Lonchura striata: one gene and its partners. The protein of the gene in region 2 purifies or fractionates together with the protein of the main gene of each other region. This does not show direct contact. Links are inferred from orthologs where the notes say so. Each region holds a gene or a part of one and is shown on either strand. Other genes may lie near its edges. The genes, in order: FOXP1, CTBP2, EP300 and ZEB1.

Evidence for each region.
Region 1: the proteins of CTBP2 (region 2) and FOXP1 purify together in Homo sapiens (affinity purification with mass spectrometry; 3 studies listed by BioGRID and IntAct, with this or other methods). This does not show direct contact. The link is inferred for Lonchura striata from reciprocal best matches to the Homo sapiens genes CTBP2 and FOXP1.
Region 3: the proteins of CTBP2 (region 2) and EP300 purify together in Homo sapiens (affinity purification with mass spectrometry; 5 studies listed by BioGRID and IntAct, with this or other methods). This does not show direct contact. The link is inferred for Lonchura striata from reciprocal best matches to the Homo sapiens genes CTBP2 and EP300.
Region 4: the proteins of CTBP2 (region 2) and ZEB1 purify together in Homo sapiens (affinity purification with western blotting; 5 studies listed by BioGRID and IntAct, with this or other methods). This does not show direct contact. The link is inferred for Lonchura striata from reciprocal best matches to the Homo sapiens genes CTBP2 and ZEB1.

The regions. Positions count from the first base shown.
Region 1 is NC_134614.1:20,739,218-20,747,198, forward strand, and holds the start of FOXP1 (forkhead box protein P1), read right to left. Parts: upstream 3,152-7,981; 5' UTR 3,134-3,151; intron 2,421-3,133; exon of another isoform or gene 2,351-2,420; intron 1,750-2,350; exon of another isoform or gene 1,555-1,749; intron 1,190-1,554; exon of another isoform or gene 1,171-1,189; intron 1-1,170. UniProt on the Homo sapiens protein: Transcriptional repressor. Can act with CTBP1 to synergistically repress transcription but CTPBP1 is not essential. Plays an important role in the specification and differentiation of lung epithelium.
Region 2 is NC_134609.1:29,530,308-29,537,765, forward strand, and holds the start of CTBP2 (C-terminal-binding protein 2), read right to left. Parts: upstream 3,202-7,458; 5' UTR 3,081-3,201; intron 1-3,080. UniProt on the Homo sapiens protein: Corepressor targeting diverse transcription regulators. Functions in brown adipose tissue (BAT) differentiation. Isoform 2 probably acts as a scaffold for specialized synapses.
Region 3 is NC_134607.1:24,935,642-24,943,748, reverse strand, and holds the start of EP300 (histone acetyltransferase p300), read right to left. Parts: upstream 3,202-8,107; 5' UTR 1,882-3,201; coding exon 1,788-1,881; intron 1-1,787. UniProt on the Homo sapiens protein: Functions as a histone acetyltransferase and regulates transcription via chromatin remodeling. Acetylates all four core histones in nucleosomes. Histone acetylation gives an epigenetic tag for transcriptional activation.
Region 4 is NC_134603.1:142,312,393-142,319,951, reverse strand, and holds the start of ZEB1 (zinc finger E-box-binding homeobox 1), read right to left. Parts: upstream 3,064-7,559; 5' UTR 3,009-3,063; coding exon 2,951-3,008; intron 2,166-2,950; exon of another isoform or gene 2,066-2,165; intron 1,520-2,065; exon of another isoform or gene 1,103-1,519; coding exon of another isoform or gene 1,087-1,102; intron 1-1,086. UniProt on the Homo sapiens protein: Acts as a transcriptional repressor. Inhibits interleukin-2 (IL-2) gene expression. Enhances or represses the promoter activity of the ATP1A1 gene depending on the quantity of cDNA and on the cell type.

The DNA of each region.
Region 1 (7,981 bases), on a different chromosome or scaffold from region 2:
CTTTGGTTTCACAACAAAGATCAGCATTTGTAATGGTCCATTTCTGCATAAGTGAACATATAGCCTTGCTGCCTGATCGAATAGTCCAGAGCTTTCAGTGAGGCAGCTCCTGACAACAGCCCAGCAGCAGCTTTGTTTGATCTCTCCTGCCTTCCTTAATCTGGGTTGTCAAGGTTCACTTGTTGGAGGCTGTTTACTTTACTTTTTCCAGAAAAAAAAAAAAAAAGTGATTTTTTTTTCCTGTCTCTCATACAATGACTAATCCAAAGACTAAGGGGGAAGAATGCTGCCAATGCAAGATGTTAAAGCTACAATACCTTTTTGCAATGAGATTTTAGCCGACACCTTTTGAATGGTAACTAGTGGAGAGCTTCCTCCCCCAGTGCCCTGGTCCATTCAATATGGTTGGGAGATAGTTCAAACAAAATGTGCAGGGGAAAAGCTTCAGAGGAGAGAAGCTGAAACGAGTAGCCCCGATTTCCCTGTCTTCCCCCAAATGTAGCTGCCGAGATGCACGGTACCTCCTTGCCCACACTCGCTTCTCTGGGAACTTGAGTTATTTCAGGCTCTCTCAAACTTATAAAACGTAAGAGCTGTTCAGCAGTAATAAAAACTGCAAAAATAATCCTAAACCGAGCAAAATGCCTGTTTTCCAAAATATTAAAAGTAAGCCGTGGATTAACAGCAAAGGTAAAAAAGTTTCTTTGATGACATGCTTGCAACTTTGTCTAATTAAGCATCTGTCACTAGTGACACCAACATTTCGTCAAATCAAGTAAAATCCAAGTTTAGAAAAACTGTATGGAAAGGAAACACAGTTTAGAGAACTGTTTTAGTATTTAGAACCATCCAGCACCCCAGAAATCAGCAGGCTATATGGTGCAGACGCCACGCTACGAGCAGTACACATCCATTACTCACTCCGAGAACAGTTACTAAAAATGAAACCTTAAACTTCTGAGCACGGAAGTTGAGCTCTAGCTTCTCTACAGAAGCGGCTCAGAGAGCGCTCGCAGGCGGCAGATGCCTCGGGTAGGGACGGGAGGGCTGCGCGCTGCCGCCGCTGCCAGGCTCAGAGGGAAAAGGACGGGGGAAAAGGAAAAACAAAAAAAAAGTAATCGCGCTCGGCTTGGTTCACTCAAAGCAAAAACACGCAATTAAAATCATTACAGCGAAGTGGCAGCAGAAGAGTCGCTGAAAGCGCGGCGCTCGCAGCCCGCCCGGCGATGCTGTCCGCGCCGGGGCCGCCCGGTCATTAATAGTTGCCGGGCGGAGCGGAGGGGGCTGCGCGGCGCCCCGCGGAGCCCTGCCCGCGCAGCTGTCCGCGCCCCGCTCGATGGCTTGGTTTGGGGTTTTTGTTGTTTTGGGTTTTTTTGTTGCCTTTTTTTTTTTTTTCCAGGAAAGAAAGAAACCCACAAACCGGCGGGGCGGGGGTGGGGAGGAGAGAGGCGCGGACACGCCGCTCGGCCGCCGCCTGCAGCGCGCACCCCTCCGCTGCCCGGGGACGCGGCCGCGCAGCGCGGGCCGGCAGGTGCGCGGGGCGGCCCTACTTACCGGGCAGCGGCGGCGGCTCCGCGGCGCGCAGCGAGCCGCGGCTCCGTCCCGAGGCTCCGCACCGCGGGGCTGCGCGGGAGGGGGACGTGCGCTCACACACGCGCGTGAAGGATGCGCGGTCCGCACCCGCGCAGTGAGAAGTTGCGCCGGGCTGAGCTGAGGAGGCGCGGGTGTTTATTCAAACACTTCGTTTCAAAAAAAAAAAAAAAAAAGAAAAAAAAAAAAAGAAGAAGAAGAAATAGAGGGGAGGGGGGATGGGCGCAACGCGTCCCAGGGACCAGCGGTGGGGGCGGATGCGCGGCGCGGGGCTCCGCGTCTGCGGAAGGGGCTGCGCGGGCGTGAAGCCGCAACAGGTGCCCGGGAAGGGGGGAACGGGCAGCCGGGCACAGCACGGGGGGGAGGGGGGGCGCGGCCCCACCGCAACTTCTTGCTCCGAGCGCCGAAGTTGGGGCGTACGCGCCCCTTGCGCGGCGGCGCGGAGAGACCCGGCGGAAAACACGCGGAAAGCACGAACAGGGATGGGAGGGGGGCGGGACGCGCCGCATCCCACCACGGCGGGGAGTGCGCGCAGCGCGGGGCGGGGGGGAAGTTTCCAAAGTGGGCGGGGAGGGGGTGCGGGCGGCCCCGCAGCCCGGGGAGGGGGCTCCGCATCCGCGCACCGCCGCCCCACATCCCCCCACCCCCCCGGTACCGCGGCGGCGGTCGGGGAGGGGCGGCCGGGCACGTGGGGCCGGCGGGGGGAAAAGTGCAACAGCCCCGGAGGAGCGGGGAAAGTGTCGGGGGGCGCCGGACTCACCCGCAGGACTCGGCCCTGCCGCTGCCCAGCACGGCGCGGCCGCGGCGCGGGCGGGCGGCGGCGCGGAGCGGCGCGGGGCTGCCTCCGTCCCGTCCCTCCCTCCCGTCCCTCCGGCACGCCGAGCCCGGGCGGCGCGGCGGCGTGCTCCGCCGCTCGGTAAATAACAATAGAGCCCTCCGCCCGGCGCCGCGCCCGCGGGCCCCGCACGCCGCCCCGCCGCGCCCCCGCCCCGCGCCGCCCCGCGCCCCCTCCCCGCCCCGCGCAGCCCCGCGCGGGCGGGCCGGGGGCGGCCCACGACACCCCCGCGGAGGGAGATGTTGTTATTTTTTGCTGTTGTCAGTCTCTGACGTCACATCCACCTGCTGGGTAAACAAGGCTCGGCGCAAGGGAAAAATAATAATAAAAAAAAAATAAAATAATAGAAGCGGGGGGTGAAGCGCGCAGGGGGTGAAGGGCGAGAGCCCCGCAGGCGCGGAGCTCCGCGGAGGACGGCCGGGGAGGCGGGGGGGGGCCGGGCCGGGGGAGGCGGGGCGGCCCCACGGGGAAGCGAAAGTGGCGGTGGAGCGCGGTGCGCAGCGCTGCGCATCCCTGCGCGCCCCTCCGCACCCCGAGGGACAGCTCAGCGCCCGGCCGGGGCCGCCCCGTCGGCGGGCGCGCAGCGCTGCGCACCCCTACCAACTTTTCCGCGGCCGCTCGGGAGGCAGCGGGGCATCAGGCCAGCGGAGCTGAGGCATGCGGGGGACCCCGGAGTGCCCTCCGCAGGTACCCGCGGAGCCGCCTTACCTGCGCGGAGCGGCGAAGCGGGCGCTGCCTGCGTTCGCCCCGCAGCGCCCGCTGCTGTGGGCGCAAACACCGCTCAGACACACTGCGCGGGTGCGCAGCGGCGCGCACCGGCCGCTCGGCGGGACTGACCGTCCCGGGGACCGGGCTGGGTCCCGCTGCGCGGCAGTGGGTCCGCATCTCGGTGGGTGCGCGGAGCGGCAGCGCTCCGGCCGCGCCGTCGGGGCTACCGAGGAGAGGGGTGGCAGCGCCCGCGGGGGCAGAGCCGGGACCACCCGGCTGCCCCAGCCCTGCGGCTTCGGCACTCGTTCGCCGCGAGTTTTAACAGCACCGATGGATTTGGAACCTCCGGCGGCGCGGGGGCTCGCTTGACGGCGGCCGGAGCAGGCGAGGGGAGCGGCCCCGCCGGGCAGCCCCTTGCCCTGCCCGGGACCCCGGCCCGCTGCCGGCAGCAGCGCGGCGCCGGCGGGACGGGGGTCGCTCGTCGGGCGCCCCGCGGGGATGGAGCGCGTCCTGCCCGGCGCTGCGGGCGGGAGTCAGCGGGCGGCCGCCAAGTTACCGAGCGACCGACTCGTTCGGGGGAAAAAAAACTCTTTCTTTGACCCGCCCGGCTTTCTTCCCTCCCTGCTTTTTCGGCGAACTCGTGTGGTTGCCCGCAGGACGGACCCGGGGCCGGGGGCGATGGTTTCACACGCCGTCCGGAGCGCTACCGCGGGGCGAGCCGCGCCCGCGGGAGCCCCGCGCTGCGCCCAGCCGCTCCCCGAGTCCCGGTGCCGGTCCCGGTCCCCCGCCCGGCCCCGGCGGCTCCGGCAGCAGCGCCGGGCCCGCGGCGCCACCTCCCGGCGGAACGGCGGGAGCCGCTCCGGCAGCAATTAAGACCTGGAATTACCCTAATAGCGAGGTACTTATGCGTAATTCATTATATTTTAAATAATTAAGAGCGGAAAATCGCTGCAAATAAATATTTGCGGAGGTGATGCTCGCGCCGCTGCCGGAGCGGTGCGCTCAGACCGGGGAGCGCTCGGGGCCGGGAACGGGCGAGAGCCGGGAGCGGAGATTTCAGCATCCCGCTTCTGCAGCTCCGGTACCGCAGGAGACACCGGGGTTTGTGTGACCTGGCGGGACCACCAGCTTTAAAAGCGAACATCATCTTGTTATATTTTTTAGTTCATCTGTTTCTTCAGTAGGAAGAAAATGGAGCAAAACCTGTTAAAATTGCATTTTTTAAACACTCTCTACCGCTATGAAACAATACTTGTTTTAAATTTCAGCTTCGAATAAACACTTATTGGCTACTTCTTCATCTCTTGTTTTTAACTTCACACATCCAAACCAGTATATCAACTCTGTAAAACATGATTAATTCCACAGACAGTACCAGCGGTGGGACTTCTCCCTCCCCTTCTGCCTATGTAGCTGCTAATTGTGCTTGAATTGTTTACTGCTGTATTGTTTTACAAGTGCCTGGAGAAAGATGCTTGATATTCCCACCACCGGTAGAACCATCCCAAGAGCAAATACTTCGCAGATTTTGGCAGGGATGTATACAGGCTACAACTACAGCTTGTTAGCTAAAAAAAAAAAAAAAAAAAATGAAGGTGATGACGCCTCTGTAATTATAGGTGTTACTTGTTATAAAGTCAGAATGTTTTCCAAGCTACTGTAATGCCACACCTCCAATGTCCCAGGAGCCAGGCCTTGGAGTCCTTTCTGCCTTAGTCACTGGTTTATGAGGCTTTGCAGAGCACATCACCAGGCTGCACGGCGGGTTCCTGGCCCACTTGGCACTCCTGCGTAGGTGCAAAGCCCATGTGGGTACTCAGCTGTTATTTTACCTTTTACATCAGACATGAAAAGATGAGATACACACCATGTACTGCCCCAAAAAGTTGGCGGACGTAAAGAGAAATGTACATTGGATTTACAGCCTGGTTTTATGATTATCTGACTTTTGTTTCAAATAAGCACAAGAAGAAGCAGCCCTGTGAGTATGCTCATACTGCAACTAGAGGCAAAACTCTTTCTTGGCAAGATGGTGATAGCTGCTCTCCACATTTCCTTGTTTTTGGTGTAGTCGGGGCAAGTCAGATCAGTCTGGCAAAAAATAACCTTCAAAAAAGTAGAAAATGCACCTCTGCCCACATGGTACACAAGCACTGTAAAATAACTGGACCTTTCTTTAGCTCAGAGAACTTCAAGGGTAGGAAACGTCAACTTGCCTATGAGGGGGAATTTTAAAAGGTGTAAACATCAGCTTAGAGACTAAACCCCATGCTCTAGCAGCACTTGCACCAACTTTAGTGGAAGGTGGATCTGTTCTCCAACCGGGGAAGTCCCACAAAGAGATAATGTGACACAGCTAAGGTCTCAAGTTGGCTTGTCTGACAAAATGAAAAGTTCTTCCAAATGAGGGCTATAACCAAACCTAGATATTTTTTAAATGAAATGGAATTAAATAAAATGTTGTTGTTGGGGAGGGGGGTTTCCAGCATACCAAATTGTGATCCCTCCGTTTCAAATGTATTTGCATCCTTCATCTGCTTTTGCTATTATACTCTCTCCCAGTTTCCCTGGCCACAGTAGAAACCATGTCCTGGCCTGTGCTGGGAGGACAAGCTGGAACAGAACTGAGCTCCCATGTGCCAGGAGGTGCCTGGCAGGACAGGGCTGCCCCACAGCCACCCCGAGGGCTGGTGCTGGGCTGGCTGTGGCAGAGCAGGCAGCCAGCAGCACAGCCAGCTTGGTGCTGTGTGTAAGGGAAAGAAGAAGCTGTGCTGCCCTGCAGCATCACGATGCAGGCAGAGCAGGCTGCAGCCTGGCTCCACGCACAGGGCAGAGGGAGTCAGGCACAGAACAAATGACATTTTGCTCTGTTGTGAGTCCAGAGAAGCTCCTCTGCAGTCAGAGCTGGTTTGGATTTGCACAGGCAGTGCAGAGACACGAGTCTTGGATTCACCCCAGACTCCTCTGGGTTCCCAGTGGATGGGAAAGGCTCCCCACATCCATACCCACAGTAATCCTCTCTGCTCCTGGAGGTGTCCCTCCAGCCACCACTGTACCAGAAGCCACCCAGAGATAACTTTTCTATAGCACATTTCCATTTGGCCTGAGCTGCCAGCCAATACATATTTCCTTTTCCTGTGGGGGCAATGAATAGCCATTGTATTTTCGCTGGACTATTAATCTGCCTGAATTTGGTCGAGATTCTTAAATGAATATTCATGGGAATTAATGTCATTTAATTCCTATTGCTTCCTGAATATAATTACGTGCCGTACGTGAATTGGCAAACTCCAGGACACATCCAATCTTGCTAAAAGTCCATGACTGATGAAACTTCGCGTGCTGGACACTCGTGCAGCACTGGAGATGCACAAAGCACTGCCAAGATGCAGCTTGACTTCAGGAGAGGAAACCAATCAAAGAGGGAAGATGTACACTGTAGGAAGCAAACACCACCTTGAGGGATAGAAAATATGATTTAAAAGGTATTTTAATACAAGCTCTTCCCCAGGTATTTGTCTACACGTAGGGGCTTCATTAAACATTTATATTATTTGGAAAAAAAAGCTTTATTTCTTCTACTTTCTCACCCACAGAAAAACATCTTTCAGGACCTCCTATACTGACCTCTTCTAAGAGACAGCATCTCTTGGAAGACCTTCAGCACATCCTACAAATATGAAGTGCCCAAGTGCAATCCTCCTTCTCCCAGCAGCCTGCCTGCCCAAGTTCACGCTGTTCCCTGAATAATGAAGCATAATCAGCTCTGTATTAAAGCAAAACCTGTCCCCAGCATCAGTGCTACCAACCCCTGTCGTAACATAACAAGGACTCTTCCCAAAATATTTGGGCTTGCCCTGTCACAGTGAGAGGCGTTCAAGTTCAGCACTCTGTCAACAATGCCAGGTGTCTCCTGAACCTCCGGCGCCCGAGCCAAGCGAGAGAGCTCAGAAGCACAGGAATAATCATTATTCACATTACTAAAATGTAACGGAATGTTTAAACAGATAACGTAACACAATCCCTTACAGCAGAAAAAGAAAAAAATACTGTTTATTATTTATCCCTGTCAGATAGAAAATGAACTCAATCTCCTGGAAAGCAAAAGCAAGGCTCCTTTTTTTTTTTTTTTTTCCCTTCTTTCTGCAACTGACAGCCATGAAAAAAAAATATTCTATTGTGGCAGCTGCGCCCCTTCAAAGGGACTGATGTTCGCTGTGGTTCTTGATAAACCAACTGGCAAATTTTGGGGGTGAAAAAGAAGTGACTTGAAGCCAAACACATCTAAGAAAAAAAAGCCTTGTGAAATCAAAAATCCAAGAACAATTTCATGTTGAGTCAATCTGAAGATTTCATTTCAATTTTGATTTTTTTGGGGGAATAAGAAAAAAGACACACACCCCCTTGCTTGAAAATAAAATTAAAGGACATTTTGAACACAAAGTAGTTTCAAAATGAAAAATCAAAGTGTTTCATGTCAGAAGTGTCAAAACTAACAGCTTCAGCATTTGTCAGAGCTTTTTTGAGTTTTTATAAATGACAAGTTTGGCATGTGTGCACAGACCGTTTTGGTGCTGCTGAATCTGCATTTTTGCATGCAAAAAAATTGGTCGGGTGAAATTTTCTGTGGAGAAACCGTTTGCCATTCCCTTTGTGTGGAGACCAGCAGCACTCTCCCCCATGGCTGCACTGTGCAGGAGCCTCACTGACACTTCCAGCTCCTCTTTGGCTTATTAATATTTTACCCTTCAGTTTGCAGCACTCCACAGGCCAGGTCTTTTCCAGAACCAGCTCCCTGGTTAGCAGGAGGAGGTACAAAGGTTAGGAGAGCCCGACTGTGCATCTCCA
Region 2 (7,458 bases):
ACAGTTTAAGGTGTAAGTCATCAGCCCAAATTGAAGAGCTGTCCACCAGAAGCTCCACTCCTTACTTCTTTAACTTACTACAACCAAAATACAAAGCAAAGCCAGGAACACTCACCAGATCTATGTAAGGAGTAAATGTGACACCCATCAGGTTTTATGAGACAGCATCATCCACCACATCCTAACAAAACACTTGCCAATTGCCAGTGCTGTGTTCTGAGCAGCTTTTCAACTTCTTCTGCTTTAAACACGAAGCCTCTTTCAATTCCACAGCTAATAAACAACCCAAAACATCCAGGGAAAATTAACCTACCTTTTCCGAATGGTTGGGCAAACCCAGATTCAGAGTTTTTTTTTTTTTACTAGTATATTTCATTCTTGCCAGAGTCAGCTGAACTGAAGAAGTTTTATTTGAACTGCAGCCAGCCTGATGGATAAATCAACTTTTCTGGCCAAAGGCATCAGTATGTTACTCCCAGCTCATGCCTGAGACCTCAGCCCCCTCTGAGGCTGATGTTTTTTTTTCTGATACAAGGAATATTATCACCAGACCCCAGTGACAAATCTGTGTACTGAAGTGCCAGCGTTAAAGATGACAGTTTGTGCTGCAGTTCTTGCCGTGGGGAAATTCCTTTGAGTGCTTTCCATCTGGGAAAAGCAGGAGTGGAAAAAGGGCACAACTTTGCCCTCGGAGGAGAGGAGGGAGGAGAGGGAGCTGCCAGCTCCAGGGGGCATCGAGCTCTGGAGCCACCCTGCCAGCCAAACCCCCAGATCCACATGGGCTGGAAAACTACCTTAAAAAGATAGAAAGCTGACAGCAAGAAAACATCATCTATGATTTGTACACTATAAAATTGGCCATACAACCCTGGACCAGGGAAGCATCTCACTCTGAAATTCTAGGAGAGAAAGGAAGAGTGAAACGCTCCTGCAATCCGTATTCCTGAACACAGGAGAGTGCCACCACTCTGACTGAACCACCTTATTTTCTGTTCAGCTTCAGAAACACTTGGTTGTAACTTTGAAAAGGAAAGATATTTTGATTGCCCATGACTGGAGAGAGCTTGGATCAAGTGAGGAACAGCCCTCAGCCCCCAGATGCGCAGGGTTTGCTAACGATGAAAGCCAACCTCTGTCCCCCCTAATGGCTAACAGGTGGGTTTCACAAACGCCTCCAAAAATAAAAAGCTCCTTTCTAAAAATACCACCCTGCATTCACAACGCCAGATTTTCCAGAAAATACTGACGATAGCTGACGTTTCCCAAAGAATCGCTTTTATGGGAACTTCAGGCTGCCCCTGCAGCAGAAAGTTTTGTGAGGCAAAGAACAGAAATCCTTGTTTAAGATTCGAGCCCCGTGGACGGACCCATTCCCTCAGCCAGCTACGGAGCTCGAGCACAAATCAGCTTTATGGAAGTAACAGATTACAGAACACATCGCTACAAATAATTTTTTTTTTTTTTTTTTACTAGAGGATGCGTAATTGAAATGTCTGAGATCCAACAATCACCTCTGAATTCATAAATACCTCATAGTATTCCAAACACACTCTCCTATAATGAGACCATCTTCAATTTTCCTTGGTAAAGACAGACCTTTAAAGAATGCTAAAGCAGGTCGGCGCCCTTACGCACTGATGGAAACAGGAACAAAAGCATTTTGTCACCAGGCATCTCGTCTATCATTATTTTCCTCACTCTGCTTAAACAAACCTAGAAGTACGTGCCTTTTCTTCCTCCCCCCTCCCCAAATACCGGCAATAACTGCGATTTCATCCCGAAGGAAAGGCACCATCTGTATGGAAACAAGGGACCGTTACACAGAACCGTCACCGCTTCTTTTCCTGCCCCACTCATGTTTTCTAAAACACAGGATTAAAATGTCATCCCATCCCTCCCGTTCCCGGGCGCCGCGTGGATTCCTCTCCTCTGGTCACGGTATACTTAATCAAGTGTGAATGATTAAAGTACTTCAATTAGAGCTACGTACATTCATTGCAGGCAATTCAAAGGCAGCGCAGGAGTGCAGCTGAAAGAAGAAATTACTTCTACTACTTTGAGATCTCCATCTCCTACTTTCCTCCTCCCCAGCACAGCCAGAGCCCTGGGACCCGGCAAAGTACCAGGCGCTGAGCTCCAGCCAGGATTTACCTTGGGGGCACGTCCCTCGGCAGGACAAAAGGCTATTCTTTCCCCCTCAGCAAGTCCTGCAAGTTTGGGGGGGAAATGTTGGGTTTTTTTTTAATCGTGGGGCGGAGTGGTGTGAAAAGAACAATCTCAGCGCCTAAATCCACGCACCCCCTCTGATTTTCCATTCTGGTGATATCAGGGTAGGGTTTAAAATGGTCAAATCGGGGGGTGGGGGGGAATACACGTAATGAATAAATAGTGGGGAAATTATTCTGAGTTCTGGCGGAGGGGTACGAGGTGGGAGGGAAGGAGCGAGGCGCGGCCCCGCGGACACCGCGCACCTCCGCGGCTTGGGAGCGTGGAGAGTTGCTAAGTGACTGAGCGGCGAGCGCGGTTATTCAGCAGTAATAAAATAATTTTTAAAAAAATTAAAATTTAAAAAAAACCCGAAACCATTCCCCCCCCGTAATCTACCTAAAATTACGATTAAAAAAGAAAAAAGGCAATAACTAAATACACTATTCCACCCCCCCCCCAGAAAAAAAAATAAATTATAAGCGCAGCGCAAGACGGCGGCTGCTCCGCGTCCCCCGGAGCATCGGCCGCGCCGCACCGCGGGGTTCCCCCCTTGCCCAAACTTTCCTGCCGCCGCCGCCCCGTTAATCCCCCGGCAGATGTTGTCGGCGGCTCTCGGCACTAAGTAAACAATGCGGGGCCCGGCACAACAAAAGATTTCCCACTTCACCCGCCGCTCCGCGCCCACCCGCGTAACTTGCGCGGCCGCCTCCCTCCACCATCACATTTCCACCTACCCTCCCCTCCTCGGTTTTTTTTTTTTTTTTTTTCCTTCTCCTCTGTCCCCCTCGCCGGTGAGGTTGACTAAAGCAAAGATGTCCTCGCTTTTCCCTTGTCCTTCTCGCCGGGAAGCGCAGCCGCCGCCGCTCCCTTACCTGCTCCCGGCCGCCGCCAGCCCCGCGCCGCTCTTCACCGCCGCATCCCTTCCCGCATCCACCGCCGGGCTCTGCTTGCCGGAGATCCACCTTAAAAACGCCACCCGCTCGCACACCGCACAAAAAAAAAAAAAAAAAACTTAATCCTTCCCCCCCACCCCCCCTTTTCCCCGCTCTCCTGCTCCGCCCGCCGCCGCGCCGGGAGCGGACGGGGGCACCGGAGCCCCGCAGCAGCAGTGGAGAGGATGCTAATTGCAACTTGGGGGGGAGGGCCGCTCTTCCCCCCCCCCCTTCCTTCTTCCTCTTTTTTTTCCTGCTTTTTTTTCCCCTTTTTTGTTTGGGTTTTTTTTTTTTTTTTTGGTTGGTTTTTTTTTTGTGTTTTGTGGGGTTTTTTTTAAGCCAGAAAGTGCCCGGGCGGCGTTGGGCGGAGCAGCCGCTCCCCCTCGCCACGCTGGGTGAACGGAGAGCGAGGAGAGGTAGAGGCTCTCCTCTCACTGCCTCGTTTTTTTTTTGTTTTTTTTTTTTTTTTCGCTCCCTTCTTCTTTTTCTCTCTCTTTTTTTTTTTTTTTTTTTTTTTTTTTTTTTTTTTTTTTTGGCAATAGGCGGGGTCTCTCCTTACAAACCAATGACACAAACCCACATGGACCAGCCTCGCCCCCTATAGATACTCTTCACTACAAATAGGCTCTCTCGGGGGATTAGTGGATCAGCCAAAGTACAAACAGACGCAGCGAGGAAGGGGCGGGGGAGGCGCCGGGGGTGGGGAGCGGCAGCGGGACCGTGCGGGGCAGGGCAGGGGCTCGGCGGGGCTCCGGGGGCGGGGAAGGGGCTCCGCGGGGCGCGGCGCCTGTTGCGCTGGGCGGAGGGGCGGGGAGGGCGGCAGCAGCAGCGGCCGCCGCCGCCTTTGTTCGGCCACCCGCGCTCAGCGGCCCGGCCCGGCCCCGCGGCAGCGCCGGCACCGCCGCCGGCCCCCGGCGCGCCCGGCCCGGCCCGGCCCCGCGGCGCGGCCGGAGCGGCGCGGCAGGCCGGCGGATGAAGGGCAGCGGGGGTTTGACATCCCGCAGGCCGAGGGGCTGCCGCGTCCCCCGGTCGGTGTGAGCGCGGGTGATCGCGGCCGGGCGTTCGGCCGGCTGCGAGAGAACGAGAGCGCGCTCGGCGCGTCTGTGTTTGTGCTCCGTGTTACCCCCGTAGATTTGGGAATTAGCGTTCGGACAGACGTTCTTCATCTGCTTATCACAAGAATGTGGGCAGGTGGTGATCCCATCTTTTTGTTGTATAATCATCAAGCGTCCTGCATTATATATATATATATCCCGTGCTTCTCAATCAGCCTGGGAAACAGTACATTCCTTTTCCACTCTAATAAAGCCCTTGAACCAGCTCAGTTGTCCATCAGAATAAATAAGCGAGCTTCAGTTTTTGTGGGTGGAATTACGCGGTTAAGGGCCTAAAGATCTTGATTCTTAGGAGCACGTTGTACGTCCTCGGTGGATGTTTGTGCCACGTCCATCATTTGTCCTCCCAGCACCTGCTGCCCGGGGCTGCTGCCGCTGTCCCACAGAAGCTGGAGCCAGGATTCCCCGTGGTGTCAGTGCAGAGATGGCCACAGCTGTGGCCACCCCGTGATGCCCAGGCTCTGCACGATGTGGTTACAGCCAGGCACCTCAACGCAGATTTTAGCAAGATTCAGCAGCTTTCAGCTGAAAGATGCATCTGATTCTGCACTTTTCCCTTTGGCAAAAGTCCCTCTAAAGGGAAAACTCTGCTTGCCTGGAGGAAACCTCAACATGAAAATCACAATTTCCATATTACTGGGACTTCTTGGATTTCCTTCATGGGCAGCACTGCTAACTGTCAAAATATTGTGGGCAGCTCCTTTGCACGTGGGGCGCAGTGGATGAAGGGATTTGCACTGACCAAGGCCTTGCTCCTGGCATTGCAGTGGGAATTTTTTTACACCACAACGCTGCTCTCACTTTGCTTTACCCAATTTGCTTTGTTAAACATTCTACACACAGTGTGTGGGGGTGCCGGGTAGGAACACAGCAATTGCTTCCCATAAATAACCCTGAGTTCATGATGTAAACAAAAGCAGTGACATAAGTTGAGGCCAAAGACACAAATAATTATTTCATTACCAGAGCAATTAGGTTACAGGTTGTAAAGGAGAAAGCTCTGAAGCTACACATCTTCAAGTTTAGCAGGGGGCAATCCTCAGGCATGTGGATTTTTCTTCAAACTATTTGGATTGCGATCGAACATTCATCAAGTGTGAAATAGCCTTTGTAATGAGATGCTCGGAAAGAAGATACACAGTGGGTTCAGTGGGAGGCCTGGAACGACGGGGGTTTAACTTCAAATTGCAGCTTTTAAAACTTCCATTCAGCTGCTGTCCAACCTTGAAGGAGCTTCAGTTCCTCCAGCGCCTCACTGGTTTGTGTAAAATTTAGCGTGTGCTCAGAATCAGGTGTTTTGGCTTCCCAGAATTTGGGAGCAGCAGTTTTGTGACAAGTAGAAGAATTAAAAGCCCAAGAGAAGGATTGTTCTGCTGTGTGCAGGCACAGACCAGACCTCTCTCCTGGCCTCTTTCCTGCAGGTTGTTTCTAGATTTTACCCAACTTCTAGCCCGATGTTTCAGGCAGTTACTGAAAAGAAAGGTTCCACACCTCTCTGAGGCACCCAAGCTTATGGACTCACTGGGGATGGCTGTGCTGATAGTCCCTGCTGGGAGAAAACCAGTCCTGCTGAGGGATGCCTGCAAAGCAAATCCAAGCTGTTCCTCTGTTCCATTTATTTTAATTTATCAGTAGCTGTACTGAAAAGTTCCTGGTAACAATTAGGGACCGAGCTCTTCCAGCATAATTTTTTGTGAAATCAAATGAATTTTTAAAAATGCACTCCCTACAATTCCCTCCAGTATGAGAACTGGGTGTTTGGGGTGCAGGATTTACACGATGCCCCTGTTCCCTGCCAGCCAGGGCTCACCTCCCTTGCTGCAATAATGCTGCTCGCCCAGTGTTGCAGCTTTATCACTAAAACATAACAGAAAGTTTGCAGCCCCTGTGTCTGCGCTGGTTCTATTTGATGAATTTGTAATTATTTTTAGTAAAGGATGACATGCTTCTCTCGTGAATAACTTGTTTTCCCTGAGCAGGGGATTCAGGGGAGTGGTGATGTTGGGATATTGTTTCCTGACCCACATGCTGGCTCTGAGCAGCTGAGCACCCATCACACGAGGCTCCACCAACCGGGAGCAAATCACACTTTGCCTCTACACTTCACCGACACGTCAGCCTGGGAGCAGCACCTCCTGCTGCACTGCTACGCCTCGAGGAACTAAAAAAAATAATAATAATAATAAATAAAATTTACAGCCTGCTTTTCATAAAAGGGTTGATTTGCAGATGCAAATGTGGGCCTTGATCCTGCAAAGATGATGCTGCTGCGTCGCTTTTATGTAGCGCGAGGAGTCGCGGTGACTTCAGCTGGATGACTCTCAGTGCATACATAAATTTCAGTGCCAGCATCTCTCTCCCTGCAGATTTAGAGTATCTGTTGACTAGAATAGACCAGTTATTTTACTGCTCCAAGTGTTTGTGCAACTTAGTTACTCGGTGCTAGGCAGGAACAGGCAGACACAAATCCTGCCTCGATCCCTCTGAGCCGCATTTGATCGTTAGAAATGAGATTTGGATGTGAGGAACACTGAGTATCCAGCACCAGCATCAATACCCCATTTATTTTTTACCAGTTTTTAAAAAGGTAACTGGTTTGGAGCAGATACGCTGGCTAGGTTATAAAGGATAATCATTACAATAATTGATTTTTTTACCAGTTTTTAAAATGTAACTGGTTTGGAGCAGATACACTGGCTAGGTTATAATGGATAATCATTACAATAATTGAGAAGCTGCTCATGGTTTTTTTACAAATGGTTGGCAGGAAACACTTGTTTTCTAGAAATGTAAGTCAAGAGTTTGGTTCATCTGCCTGTAATACAATTCCAGTAAGCAGGAATATGAATATAGTAAGGCATTTTCCTTAAAGGCTTTTGTGAGTGTAAATTTGGATAATGGAGAAATTGACTGGTTTATTTTCTCACATACTCCACTTTTAATATCAGCACCCTATTTTGACTTGAAAATAGATTGAAAGAAGCACATCCTTCATTTTACTCCTGTGATTGATGCAAACCAGAGATGGATTTGTTCCAAAACATATTTGGTAAACTGTTCTGGAGCTGAGAATTTAGAAGAAGCATTGTTTTTCTTATAGTTTTAATCTCACACCAGACTGACACGCGTGTATAAGCACCATCAAGAACAATTACTTCTAGTGGTGAGCCAAAATTCCAACATTTGGTATCAGGCTTGTGAAA
Region 3 (8,107 bases), on a different chromosome or scaffold from region 2:
AACTGAAGACTAAGTATTCTGTGAGAGTCTACACCTGTTAAACTGCAATACATACACGAATTATCCAACCTTTATTTGCTCACAAATGTCTGAACTTAGATGTGTGTTCATTTGAATCAAAATATGCCTTTAGCTTGCATATTTTTAAACTATCAGAACTTTTCTCACAAAATATTTTTATTTCACCTCTCTAAACAGAGCAAAATAACCACTATCAAGACAAATTTAAAACGGTTACTATTGAATTAATCACTGTTTTCCAAATCTAGCAAAAAAACAGCCAACAACTAGTTCTCGCTTAAGAGTAGCTTCTCCAACCCTCTTCTACTCTCTTACTAGAGACCTGTTAATGTTAGGAATAGTCATGTCCTCCAATTACAACATAATATTGGCTGTATTTAATATGCACTAAAAGTCACACACAAACTTTTCAAAACTAATACATCATTCACCGAGAATAGAATAGGCAAAATCAAAATTTTGGAGATGATCCCAAGCAGAACCACATCCACTGCTCAAAGACCTGCTATTAAAATCTCTTTTCAGAAAAAACAAAACAAAGACCCCAAAAACCAACAACAAGAAAACAACTCTTCCCTTTTCTTGCCAGTTGTTAACTGCATTGAACAAGAGCACGGGTGCCTTCAGAAATGCCACCACTCACCAGACTGGCAGGAGGAGGAGGCCTCCTCCATATCCCATAGGTTAATAGTTTCTAATGTGATCTAATGGGAACTAATGAGAGTTCAAAGAAACTCCAGGTAACAGAGTATTCTCATAGCAAAATGACACCAAATACTCATCTGCTTCGCAAGAAATATTAAAAAACAGCCCTTTGTTACTTCCTCCCCATTCCCAGTACAACCAGTTAATATTTGCTGGGGACTGGGTCACCTAAAATTTCCATGTCCTAGCTTGCCTTCCCAGCATCACCAAAGACCTTGGCAGGACTGCAGAGAAGCCCCTTTTCTCTTCACAGCTTTTAAGTCTACAGGGGAATTTCAGACATTTTGGTCTTGCAGCAAAGAAACAGGAGATGCAAGATTAACTACACTCCATATTGATTCTTAAGGCAAATAAGGTGAAATAAAATTTCATCTCTAAGAAGATAAGTCTCAATAAACCTTATGCCACAAGCATGGCATCTGAATTTTGGTTTTAGCTGTTTTTCCTAAAGCCGATGGTCTATTTGAATCAGAAAAGCAGTATTTTGATACACTTCTACAGGAAGAACGGAGGATTGTAAGAAGTAAATCATATATGCAGACTGCATATAAGAAAAAAGAAAAACAGCAAGAGAAATAAATCTCGTTTTTAAACAAGATCTAGAAGAACCCCGTATATGCAAAATAAAATACAAAACCAAGAAACTTGTGCGCACACACGTAATCCAACAATAAAGTGTACAAAAGCATCGTCTTTAGCACTTCGTATTTCTGCAACTGGCATTATGCTTAGCAAGGAGCTAAGCTATTATTGTGAAAGACACGAAAATGACGAACTGTTAAGTCCTATCTGCAGCTGATCAAAAGCACAATAAACTGAATAGCTTTGCTCTCAATCACTTCCAAAAAACCAGAAGGGCAAAAACATCCGAACACCCTCCCTATGCCATTAACGCAAATAGCTTCAAACGGAGCGAGAACAGGCGAAACAGACGGGAAGGAGAAAAGCAGGCTCGAGCTAACAGCAGCAAAAGGGAGGAGGAGATTTAAGCAAAACAGGGGAGAAAGGGGCAGTAATTGCGGCACCAAGAAGCGGGGAGGCTCTGGGGCCCCGAGACTGACCTGTGCCGTCGCTGGCGGACACGGAGAGCGCCGGTGAGGAGAGTTTAGGCCGCTTGGCTGAAGGCGGGCCCGGCTCCACCACATTCTCGGCCATTTTTAATTTTTTAGACAATCGCTCAGAGCAGAAAGAAGGTGGGGGGTGAACCCCAAAACCTTCACGGTCTTCTGGGGCCCGGAGTCAGCTGAAGAACAACAATAAGGCCGAGAGCGAGGAGGAGGATCTGGCGGAGAAGGGGGGCCAAGTTCCCCTTTTTCTGCTTCTCGGGCTCTGGGAGGGCGGCAGCAGAGAATCTGGGAGAGGTGGGAGCTGGGGCGGGCGGGGGTGAGGCCTCTTCCCCCAGGCGAAAGGGCTGAACGAAGATGGGAAGAGCAGGTAAAGCCCCCGCCAAAAAAAAAAAAGGAAAAAAAAATTAAAAATGGAGGCTGGTGAATATTTAATTTTTTTTTAGTAAAATTAATCCCGGCTGTTGTGCTGGTGCTTCCTCGCCGCCGCCACCATCATCATCTTCATCCTTCGGGGGGTCTCCTCCTCCTGCTGCCTCCTCACCGCCGCCATCAGCCTCTTCCTCCTCGGCGCCGTCCTCCTCCTCCTCATCGCCACAAGGAGGCGGGCGAAGGAGAGGAGAGGAGGAGGAAAAAAGAAAAAAAGATCACCGTCCTCTAGCAGCGGCTCCTTCCCCCTCCAACACCACCCTGCGAAAAAATACCCACCGCCAGCGACAGGGCTGGGGGGGAGGCGGCGGGGGGGAGTGGCACAGCGTGCGCGGGGTCCCCAGCTCCACTCGCTTCTTCCTCGCCCGTCGCTAATGGCTGCAGAAAGGGGAGCTGTAAGGATGAGGAGGGTGAGGATAAGTCCCAGGAGTCTCCGCTTCACATCTTGTTGTGCAGGCAAAGAGGAGGGGTTGTTGTCCTGATGGAGGCAGCACCGATCGCGGGATGGGAAGGTGGGGGGCGGGTTTCAACACCCCTTCTGCCCCCTCTTTTTCTCTTCTTCCCCCTTCCTCTTTCTCTCGTTCGCAGTAGCAGGCTGCCCCCCCGCTCCGGCGCAGGCAGAGGGGCCGATCCCACAGCAGCGGCAGGAGGAGGAGGAAGAAGAAGCCGGCCCCTCCCGCCCTCTCTGCCTACCTTCCCCCTTCCCGGGCGGCCGAGGATGGTGGCAGGGAGGGGGCTGCCCGTCCCAGCTCCCCCGGACCCACGGGCGATGCAGGGCGCGATGAGCGAGGGAGGAGACCCTCGGCTGTTGTTCGGGCGCGGTGGGGACTCCCCCTTCGCCTCTGCGAGGGTGGGGAAGGGAGCGAAGAGGTTGGAAGTCGGGGTGGGAGGGGAGGCCGCGCAAGCTACCCCTCGGAGAAGAGGATCGAGAGGTAAAATTAAAATAATAAAACAGGAGAAAAATCACGGCGGGGAAGGCCGGGGGATTCGCCCCGGAATGGCCGGGCGGGGGAGGGGGTCCCCGGCGCTGCCCCGCGGGGGGGGCCGGGGCGGGACGGCGGCAGCGCGGGGGCCGAGCGCAGGCTCCCTACTGCCCCTGCCTGGCGCTCCGGGGGCGTGTGTGCGGAGCGGGCAAAGCGGGGGCGGAGGGCAGTGCGGGAAGAGAGAATTCCGGGAAAAGGAGAAGAGAGAAAAGGAAACAGAAAGAGAAGGAATAGCGAGGGGACGGGCAGGCTGGGGTTGGGGGGGGGAGGGGAGTCTGGATTCCTCGCTTCTCTCCCCGTCCCCTGTCCGTGCCCCTGGGTCTCTGTGCGCTGCCCTCCCCCTGGCTCGCCCCGTCCGGCTCGGCCTCTCGCTCCCTTCTCCTCCCTCCGTCGCTCACACACAAACAAAATGGCGGCTGTTGTTCCTTCGCTCTCCCGAGCCCTCGGAGGGAAGCGGCGGTGGCGGCGGCGGCCGGAAATGAGCCAAGAGAACACGGGGGGCGGGGCCGCCACCGGGGCGTGGTCAGCCCCGTGGGCGGGGACACGGCGGGGCGGGGCCCGGCGGCGTTAGCGCACACAATGGAACGCGGGGCGCCGGCGGGGTGGGGGGCGTGGCACCGCCCCAGCCGCCGTCACGAGACCGCGCTTACCCACTCAGCGCTCGTCTCTCTCCGGGCTCTTCCGCAAACTCCGCTGGCCTCGCCCCTTAAAGGCGAAGGGTTTTTCCCTTAAAAAAAAAAAAAAAAAAAGGCTCCTTCTTCCTGCCCCGCCCCATACGGCCTTATCTGTCGGCCCAAAAGTGCGCGGCGTAGGCCCAGGGGAGCCTGGCCGGACCTTGTGGGCGCTCCGGTCTGCTGCTGCACCACCCGGTGCCTGCTGCCCGGCCCGGTGGGCTGAGGCGCCGGCGGGAAGAGCGCGGTTCTTTCGCTGCCCTCCTTCCTTCCCTCCCGCCCGCCGGCTCCCGGCCGGTTCCCCGCGGCGCCGGCGGGCGGGGCCCTCCTGCCGCCGGTCCCGGGCCGTGCTGCGCCACAGACATGGCAGCACCCGGCCAGCCAGCAAAGGGCCTGGGCAGCGGGGCCGCACCCCGAGGCCCCCGAAGTGGCGAGTGGATGTGCGAATCACACAATCGCAGAATCAATTAGATTAAAAAATCTCTGAAATCATCGAGTCCAACTCGTGACCGAACACCACCATGTTAGCCAGACCATGGCACTGAGTGCCACATCCAGTCTTTCGTTAAACACCCTTAGAGACGGAAACCCCACCACCTCCCCGGGCAGCTCCCAATGTTTAACTGCCCTTTCTGTGAATAAATTCCTCCTAATCCGGCGGCGCTCTGTACTGCCCATCCCGGGGGTGCCCAGAGCTGCCTCAGGCTCCCGTCGGCGTTACAAGACAGACAAAAATCCCCAAACGCCAAAGGATAAATAAGCCCACAAGCCCCGCGCTCTCCGCCGGACCCCAGCGTGTGGCGGGGATGGCGCAGGGCACGGTACGAGGGACCGCGGAGTCCTGACAGCGCTCCCGCCCATCAGAGGGGCTGTCGCAGGCATAGGTGACACTGGCGCGGTCCTCCGCCAGCCCTCTCAGCCCCCGAGCCGTCCCACAGGTTACGGGCCACGAGTTTTCCTCAAATCTCTGAGGGCTCATCCGTGAGGAAATGCCCGATCCCGGCATTTCCCTTCGGTGCGTTTGGACTCCGTCGGGCCGCACACCATTACGAGATAGGAGTGGAAGGGAAATGCAGGCACGTGCATGTTTTGGATGGAGAATCAGGGGGTGTTGATCCAAAACCGGACATTTGCGAGGAGGACTTCCCTTGCCGCTCACCCTCAGGGACGAGCTCTCTGCAATCCACGTAAGAGCCACAGCAGGTATTTGGGAAGAGCCTAGACTAAACACAGAATCAATACTGCAGCCTACAAGAGGAGCCTACAGGCAGGAGGAGATTCACAGCCCTGTAAGTTATTCACCAGCTCCCTCACATACTCCCACTCTTCAGCTTCCCTTGTTTGGGTTTTATTTTAAACAAGATTGTTCTTGTCTTCCCCAGCGCAAAAAGGAAAACACAAACCACTCCAAAAATGCCCAAAGATTGGATTTAGGCTTCCTGAAAATTCTTGAATGCATAGGCACTACGTTAAGAGAGGTGGAGAGAGCCTTGCCGCTACAAATAAGCCTCGGGAAAATAATGTGTAGTGCAAAAAGTCTCAAAGTCTCAAAACTAAAGCTGTCAGGACTAACAGCCTAAAACTTAACAGTGACACCTTAGAAACTATGTTAGTGGTTTTCACAGGTTTTTTGCCTTTTATTGTTTCTAAATTTCCCAAAATATGCCAGTTATAGAGATTTTATGTTACCTCAGGTTTGTTTTTTGGGTTTTTGTTTGGTTGGTTGGTTTTTTGTTGTTGCTTTTTTTTCAGATTGACAGTTTCTCTTGTTTGTGAAGCAATTTTTTAACACAGCTGAGACTAACTTTTTGGTCTCATTAGAATTAGAAGTTGACTGAAATAAGTCAATATAAAATTGTCAGACTGGAGACCCTTAGTCTACAGTTCAATAAGGAATTAGTGCTGGCTTTTTAAAGATGCTGAAGTGCACATAAACACCTAAATGCTTTTAGAAGTCAGGCCCTTACTAAACAACAAGTTGGGAGCAAATAAAATGTTTCAAATAAGAGTTTTGAGACACTTGTTCCTATCTAGAGACTAGATCCTACCATTCAGTTCACCTGAAATTGTGCTGGCAAACAAAATAAAGTTGTTTGTTTGTTGGGTGTTTGTTTGGTTGTTTGTTTTTGTTGCAGTTTACCCTCTGGTCTGGCTACCTGTCTGTCTATCCTTGAAAAGGGTTCAGGGATGCATACCTGAACTGTGGAAAACTTAAACTCTTACATAAATGCTACCAAACCAACATATGTTTTCTGAATATTAATTATATATATATAAGTGATTAACTGATACTTCAGTAAAGCTATAGTTCTGCTTTGCAAGCTTCCTACCCAGTAGAATATCTTAGTTCTTTAGGCATTAAAAGGTCATATTCAGATGGCTTTCCAGATTAGAGATTTAAATGCAAGCTGAAGTATATGGAAAATAAATAGAAAAGAATGTTATTTGTGGTATTTTCCTTAAAAAGGCACCAAAAATAAAAGAAGGAGGAAGTAAAGGAAAAGCCAGGAAAGTAGGGTTATGATAAATCAAATATATATATATAAACAATGACAAAAAACTATTCAATATCTGTTAAGTTTTCTCAAATCACTGCAGTTTTCTTAAATGAACCTTGGTACATGCACACAACCCATGACAGATAACATTACTGGAAAGCAATAACAACATAAAGCATACTAAGAAGAAAATGCATAAACCTATAAAAATAAAACCAGGAGGATATTATAATATTAAAAGTAAAACACACCTATTCATCAAAAAACTTCTCTTTGCTTCAGTTTCCCCATTCTTACAGCAAGGATAGTAATATTTATCCCTTGAAAATAATGCCTAGAAGAATTGATTAGCTCATTAATGTCAGTAATTACAGTAGTCATTATGTACTTTAAGATAACTGGATGAAAGGACCATAAGTCCAGTTAAAATGAGAATCTGCTCAGGAAAGCAATAAGAGAGGAATGCAGAGCCTTGAAGTTTTATCGTGGGATCTTGTTTGGCCTTAGCTGGTAGTTACTGAAATTTGTAAGCATGCCCAGCTGCTTTGAGGGCTACAAAGAACAAGATAAGATCCCTTTGTACTGCAAAGGTCAATGTGATGCCCAGAGCTCAGCAGTCCAGCTTCAGTGGGATGAGCAGGCAGAGGAATAATAATCTCCTTCGGCCCAGAGGGAGCTGGGACTGTGGCCTTCCCCTTCCAGCTGCTGGATAGAGAAGCAGTGTAACATCTCAAACTCACCCAGCCAGCCTCCCCTGCTCCCTAATACTGCTCAGGAAATAATTTATACAAATGAAACTTCCCTGCTTCCCCTCAGCAGGATTTGTCCCACAACCCTGTGGCCCTTCGAGTGTCTCTGAAAGATGTGGACTCTTGGAATGGAAAGCAGGAGCCAGGTACAGGGCACTCCTATTCTCTCAGTCCTGTTTTTGCTTGCAGTTTCCAGCTCTATTATCTTTTTTTCCCCTGAGATTTCCAGGGCTGCTGTTCATGTCTGGCAGGTAACTTCTGTTCCCTAGCTACCTCATGTCACTGCAGCACTGCTCACAGACCAGATGGGGAGGGAGGAGGAATGACCCCCTTCTTTCTACCAGCGAGGAGGTCTAGGCATGGAGGGTCCTTCCTGGCACAGGTGAGAGGAATGAGGAAATTATTTAAGGCTCCAATTTTTGCAAGTAATGCCAGGCTGCAGCTACATTTCTGGAAAGCAAGAGCTAGCTGTGCCTAAGCAGAGAACATTGCTCAGTGCGGCGTCAACATTAAAACCCAGCAGCATTTTGATATGAGACAAATTTTATTAAAACCATAAGAAGCAACCATCCAATAGTTGGTTCTTTCTTGCTTTTAGCGTATACATAAAAGAAAGGGTTGGCGTTCTGACAGCAAGCAAAATGCTTTCAGTCCTCAGTCTCAGAAACACAGGCTTCCTCGGTCACACAGTTTTCAATAGCTGAAAACACAGTTATGTTGCTAAATGTTAAGGGCTCAGCTGTTTACCAGAAGAATGTTTCCTCCCTGGAACACATGGTTTTACTTAAAAGAAGTTCTCCCAAAAACCCCACTTTATTTAATTAGCAAATGCAACATTATAGTTCTAACAAACATGCCATGCTGTCTTCCCTTACAAGAGCAAAATAGGAAAAGAAGACAAAAATTGACCTCTCAATTTATGAGAGGGGCAGAAGTACATTCTGCCTAGGAAATATTGCAGCTTGAATGTCTAGTGATCTAGAGCCA
Region 4 (7,559 bases), on a different chromosome or scaffold from region 2:
AAGGACAATGACACAGGGTAGTTTTCTTCAGGTAGGAAGTGCCAGATTTCCTTGTAAGTGGAGGCTTTAATGGCAGCACCAATCGGCTCTTTGCTGACCTCCTGTAGGGACCAATAAACAAGGCAGAAAAGGAACCAGCTCCAGAGTTAAGATGATAAGACTGTCTTTCCAGCTAGAGTTAATGTGCCAGGATGACTCCCAAACACAGAGAGAAAGCAGAGGAAAGAAGGAAAAAACAAAAGTCTACAGTGTATGAATAGCTGTGTTAAGTTTAACAAGAGATAAAAAGAAGTTTACAGTATAATAACTCAGTGCCATAGCCCAGTATTATTAACAGGCATACTGGATGTCTAGTGCAATCTCTCTGCAATAATCTCATACTCTGTGGGAAGGTGGAGAGGAAACAGCATAAAAAACAGCTTTTATTTTTTATACTACAAACTAGCCAGTTGCTTATGCATCTCCCCTATGCCCATTCTTCATTAACAGAAGATACCTATAAGAACGAAATGCATTCTGCGACTTTGGGAAAAAAAAGCCTCATACTTACTCATTTTAAAGGTTAAAGGGTTAACATTTTTTCTATGCATTTTCTTCAGTTAATATTTGCAAGTCAAACATAAACCCACTGCTGAGAAATGTCTATTATCCAGATTCTATTATCTAACAGATCCTGATGTTCCAGTGCACAACGACTTAAGTTGGTTTGAATTCCTCAGTAAAAGGAACCAAAAGCAGCCTAAACCAAGACATACTACATTTTACATTACAGAACTAGTTGATAAAGACTCTGAGGCTCTTTATAATAAAGTGGGCGCAGCAATAAGGTCCAAAAGTGATGAAGATGAAAGATACCTGGAATGATACCACATCTTATACACCTTTTGTTTTCTGCAAGTGATGCACGCTGCAGACAAAACGGTTTGTGCTAAACAGCCTTAAATCTGGTTTTCTAATATTAAGCACAAAGGAAAAACACTGACAGCAAGCATGGTAAATAAATCCCTCCCTTGAGAATAAAAGCAGCAGACAGGAGGGGGCTGACATGCATGCAGGAGAAAACTAAACACCATCTTTTTTTTCTACCTGCACAAGTTGTCATTTGCTGCAGCAATCAAGGATCTATTTTTCCCCGTCGATTTCAAAAGCCAGGTTTTCAGAAAATTTCTCTGTCAAGTCATCTGTTGATCTGCTTTAGGAGTATGGTATTCATATCACTGGATCTTTAAGAGAAAAATCCATTTTCTTTCCTGTTCAGGTAAACATGTTTACAGCTCCTGCACAGACGCTGGGTGGTTCAGACTCACATGTCACACATGTTGTCGTCAGCAACAAGAAAAGCCCCTTTCTCTGATCATCCACATTTTTAATAAGGTAAAGAGAAAAGCACTTTCCAAACTTACCTTTAGCACAGCCAAATCACGAGCCAAATATAAATATTTACACCAAGACAAGGAATTAATAACATGAGCGTGCAAACAAGAATACTTGCTAGAAAACGCAGACAGCAGAAATAACCCTTTTAAGTTCAACGCAATCAAACCAACCCGTTAGCCCCTGGAAAGGCTGTCATTTATCACCGCGTTATGCCCCGAACACTGAGAATTGGAGAGGTGAAGCACCGATCGTGACTCCGATCTATTTCGGAGACCGTTCACTGCATATGAAAACATCTCAGATCGCAGGCAAAGCCTTCCTATCTGTAACCCTGCACAGGAAATGCCACATAAAACCTAAAATTGCCAAGGAGGGTTACAAAATCGCCTACTCTACATCCTATTCCGAAGAGTCGTGCTACGAGGACCGAACTACTTCTCCATTTTCCAGAAAATAAGTAGAGAGTGGGTGTTACGAGCCTTTATTCCCCCCGCCGTGTACCTTCCCATCGCATCTTAAAGTAACACACGTACCAAAGGGGAAAAAACACCACCCAACAGCAGCCCTTAAGCCTGAAATGTACATGTAATTCCTTATATAGACTGCAGCAGCTGGTCACACACGCACGGAGAGCGGAGCGGGGGCCCCCGGCCAAACCGTTACCACCCATTATTATACAAACAGGTACCTCCGAAGCCAGAGGGAAGGGAAGAAACTTCGCCGCCCGCCCCCGCCGCCCGGGCGCAGCCCTCCCTTCCCCAGCGGCCCGGCGGGGCGGCAGCGCGGCCGCGGGGCGCCGCCGGGCACCAACTCTCGGCGGGGCGGGGAGGCGCGGAGCGGGCGGGCGGGCGCGGAGCGGGGGCGCCGGCCCGGGGCGGCCGCGCTGCCCCCGCGCGAATCGCCGCCCGCTGCGGCGGCGGTGCCTCCCCCGCGTGTGCTCCCGGGTGTGTCCCCCTCGGGGACGGCCGGCGTCCCCCACCGCCGCCCCGAGAAAGGCGAGCGCCGGCCGGGGGCGAGGAGCCGGCCCGCCGCCGGGCGAGCGGGCAGGGAACTCCGCCGGGCGGGCAGAGGCGCTCCCGGGCGGGCGGCGGGGCGATCCCGCCCGCGGGGCCGGGGGGAGGCCCCGCTCCGCCCGGGGCAGCGCGCAGGTAACAAGTTTCGGAGTTGGGGCTGCCGCGGCCGGGCGGGCGGCGGCCGCTCCCCCGCCGCTCCCCGCGGGGCTCGGCGTCCCCGCCCGGGCCGGAGGGCGGCGGCGCGGCCGGGGGCCCCCGAGCCCGCTGCCGGCGGCGGGGCGGTCGCGGGGCTCGAGGGGGAAGCAGCGTGTAACGGTCCCGGACAGCGGCGGAGAGCGGAGGCACCGCTAGGCGGAGGAGGGAGGCGGCGGCGAGGAAGGCTGCAGGTAGCGGATATAACGGTGCGGAGGGAGCCGCGCTCCCGGCGAGCCGCGGCGGGGGAATTACTTTGGCGCTCGCCCGACCTCCCCGCTGCGCGCTCGGGACGGCTGTGCCCGGCCCCCGCCCCGGCCCCGCCGCCGCCCCAGCGCGGCCGCGGCGCTGCCCCGCGGGTGACTGACCGTTGTTGCGGCGCGGGTTCGGCTGCTTCCTGCGCTTACACCTGGGGCCATCCGCCATGATCCGCTCGCTGGTGTCTAAATGCTCCAGTCACCTCCTCCCCCGCCCGCCCCCCTCACTCCCTCCCCTCCCCCCCGGACCTGGTTTACGACACTGGGTGGTTTTACTTTTACATCACCTTCCTACACCTAGTGCTCGCCCGGAACCTTGTTGCCACGGGAGACGGGCGCTTTACGGCAGCGCGTTTGAACGGCGGCGAGGGAAAAGTTGCCCCCGCAGGTACCGGGAGCGGCGGCGCCGCCCGGCGGGGCCCGGGCCCCCGACCCCCGCACCGCCGGCAGCGCGGGCGGACCCGCGGAGCGGGACGGGGTCGGCGGTGGGGTGTCAGTGGTCGCCGGCCCCCCGGGGCGGCGCAGGAGGATCCCCGCGGGGCAGTCCGCGCTGAGGGGCCGCCGCCAGGTGCTCCCCCGGCCCGCGGGGCTGTCCCGGCGCGGGGCCGCTCCCGGCCCGCCGCGCTCGCACCTGGCCGGCGCACCGCGGCTCCGCGGCGCTCCTGCCGCGCCGAGCGGGAACCCACCGCCGCACCGCCGCACCGCCGCGCCTCGAGTCTGCCGCGCTCGGGCTGCCCTCAGTCGTGCTGGCCGGCTCTGCAAAGAGGAGGAGAGGTATAAAGTTCTGCGCCGTAACGAACAAAAAGAAGAGAGCAATTTTTCACGGATAATTAATAAGCAACCTCGGTTGTACTTAATAAACTTATTTAATGTATATAAGAATTAAAACCATCAAACATTTGTGCTATTTTTTTACTCTTGTTTTTCACTTCAGGCAATAAAATAATTTAGTAAGTTTGCTTCTATGCTTCCTTATTTCTATCTCTCTCTCTCTCTCTCTTTTTTTTTTTTTTTCCTTTATCTTGGCATGATTTTGTAGAATTTATAGTTCTGTGCTTCTGGGGAACTCTTTTATCTAAAGAAATTCAATGTAATTAAATTAAATTTCAGTGAAAGCATTTCTCTTAATGGGATACTTTCAATAAGACATTGATGCACTAGAAAACTTGAGTCCTTCAGCTGTTCTACATTGCCCTATTCCACAAACAATATATTCACATTCTGTGAACAAGAATTCACATTCTCATTTCATGGAAGAAGCATAGAACATCTATAGGAAATGAACTACTGAACACTGCCCGTTTATCGGCGTACCTTGCATCTGAAGCTCCCACAAAAGTCTGGACAATCAGAAGTCCTTAAAAAAGAAGTATTGGGCTATAATGGGTGCAGATTTAGGTAAAGATCCAAAGGGGTATTTTCTTAATCAATTGTATCCTCAAAAACCCCTAAGCCTTGGCTTTGAATACTTATATGAAAACAGTGGTTGCAAGTACAAATCACTTGTCTGTTAGTTCTCAAAAATCCTTTAAGTTTACATGGGGTTTTTTTTCGCATATGTGTCTTTACTCAGTGATGGTTGGCTGCTGACTTCAACATTTTAATAAGGATCTACCTAAGAGTGATGAAAGAAGCTAATCAAACAGTACCAAGTGCTTGATGGACTAACAGAGTCATTCAAAAGCATCAGATTTGGCATCAGTTGGGAGTACTGAACCCCAAATATGAGGATGGCTAAGTACTGCAATATGAAACTAACTATAAGATAAAAATGAAACTTGTCAGCTCAAATTTTGAGTGAGCAAATTACACATTTTAAGGGAGAGTTTTGTTTTTAGTTCAACATCTTTGCTTGTAAAGTTTCTGCACAGAAGATAACCTGTGGCTGTGAAACTGTTTGCAAATGAGTGCTTAAGGTGTTTTGGAATTGTTAGATGCTTTTTATCATTCTGTGGATGAATTTGAGGATGAACCAAAATACGATATACAGGTTTTCATACAAAGTTTTTACTTCCTTAAATTTAGTCATGTTCTTAGAAGGTAGTTGCAAATAATAAATAATATCTGTAAACTTATTTGTAAATTTGTAAGAATATTCTCCTGCATGCCCACACAAAGTTCTAGGCCCTCTTTAAGCAACTTTGAAGAGCTTATTTTCATTGAGTCTTGTCACTTTTCACCTCTGTATAAGAACTCTTGTCTCTTCCTTTTGAGCAATTCATATTTCCTAACAGAATAAGAAGAGAAACAGTCTCCTGGTATTTGTTGTGCTCATTTTCCAAGAGCCACAGTGTCTGTTTGAACTTGAATCTCCTGAGGTTTCCAAGCAGCTGGGAGAAACTGGTGACAACTCCTGCTGCCCATTAGTTTCTGAAGAGCAGAACTGAAACTGGCAGGAACATTGCTAGCTGTACACTGCTATTATTTGGATAAGTGAGAAGAGAAAACCAAAGCAACCTTGGTATACATTATCTTTGGGACCATGGAGGTCTAGAAAATAAAAAAAAAAATAAATCAGAGATTAATATTTTGCATCAAGTTATTGATGATTGCAATTGTGAAAACTAAATGGATATGTAAATAGATATGTGGACAGGTTGGGTTTTTGGGGGTTGATTTTTAAACTTTGTTGTATTTAATCCAAGCAACTGGGCACTTCACATCTTTGTATAGAAAATTTACTGTGCTAAATTAAGGGAGCAGCCACTGTAAATGAATTTTTACCTAATACATTCTTCTAATACTGAATGCAAAGCAACTAGTTAAAATTCCTATTATCTTTGTTATGTTCTGCAGTACGTGAACATGTTGTATGTGTAATTTAAACTGGTTTGTGCCTCAAGAATGGAAAATCTGGTTTTCCATTATGGTGCACAGCTTTCAGTCTGATTTGTCAGTCAAAGATGCAGGAATTAATTAAGATATTCATTTGTAAAATCTTAGAGAAGAGGTATATATCTGCATCCTCCTAAATGAGGCAGTCTTGAGAACATATCTCTTTAAAGGAGGAATTCTAAGACAGTGGTCATCCATAACAATTTCTAGTAACAATTTATATGGGAATTTATGCAAGCTAAATAAGCATATTGTAGTTAAAACACGAGATTGCACAGCTGCTGTACTTCACCTTTTTTGAAATTTATTTCCATTGTTTGAAGACAAGAATTAAAATATTTCCATAGTCACACTGTTGTATGGATGTTCAAAAACCAGGTTTTTCTTACAGACAGTTTTTCCCGTGTTAAAAATGTTCCTGTGTGTTATGTTACGATTTATGATCTCTTAAATATGTACCATTAAATAAAAGCAATCAGTCCTGTGTTTGTATCTACTCCTTATTGATGCTTACGGAGTTTCACACTGTATCTTGAGTATTCTGGATTTAAGGGTGTTCATTTAGTTTAATGATTTGAGAATTACAATGGAAAACAACTCAGTATTGTTTCATGTGTATTGTTTCTTGTTTAATTTCTGATTTGTGGAGGTTCTTTTTTTTTTTTTTTTCTGATTTCCATTAGTGAAACTTTGTTTTCAATTCCATGTATTTCTTGGAATCTCAGTTTCTAAAATTGATTTTTCAGTTGATGATTTTTTCTTTTAGATTTTTGTTAAATGCACTTTTACTCCTCTATAGGAATTGTAGTTGAAAGATTTGTTAGGAGAACAGTGACACAGAAATACACAGTTTGCTGCAGATGAGGAACTAATCTTGAATAACATGTTAATTGTTGAGGTAACAACATAGAAGTGTAGTGCCCTTTCAGATGGTCTTCCAATTTCTATTTATGCTTCCAAATGAATCTAATAAGTTTTGAAGGTGTACCCTCAGATGCTGTACAGTCTCAAAAAATGGTATATCTGCTTGAAATTTTCCCATTCATTTAGAGCAGGCTGTAAATATTTATCATGGGAAATTACCTTTTTTCACTTCCCTCATCTCATAATTTTATTTTCTGTTTTCATACTTTACTATGAATTTACTTGTTCATTTAAAGATTGAAGCCTATAAGATCTAATAAATTGTCATATCTTTACACAACTTGAAGAGATTGTACCTGCTGAAAAGATGTGAGGGTGTAACTCTGACATAAATCATCAATAAGTACATAGCTATAGATAGGTATAATGACTTGCACATATGCAACTGACTTTTTCTAACATCTTCCTTATTAAGGAAAAGTGTTTGTGAAGGTCACAAAGGCCTTCAAACCCATTTTGTTTCTCTTGCTCTCCCTTTGCCCTACTTGTTGCATATTGTTTTTCTCTTGAAAGCAATTAACCTGTGCTGATACCTATGTCAGGTTAGTATGCTGTAAAAAATGAATGTACTAGAACATAACAAGGACCATTCTCCTTCCATTCTTATACTAGCTTTCATTGTGATCTCAGTTTCAGAGCCTTCACACAAGCAAAAAACTATTTGAGAAAAAACTTGAAAAGATAATTTCATGTTCTTCATCCAAAAGGCAAATTTCATGTATTCAAAATGGAATTGAAATGAAAATTTGGGTAGAAGTGGTGGAGGGTGAAGAGCTGTGGGTTTTTTTTGTTTGTTTTCAAAATACCTGGAACTTCAGATAAGAATGTCTACTTCAGCACTTTTTTTTCTACCAGTAGATGCAGTAGCAAAATACTATTTTTTAAAAATTGCATCTGAAGTTGTGACTGATCAACTTACACTTGTAGTGAAGTTAGATTGCCTGCTTTTAATAACAGCATG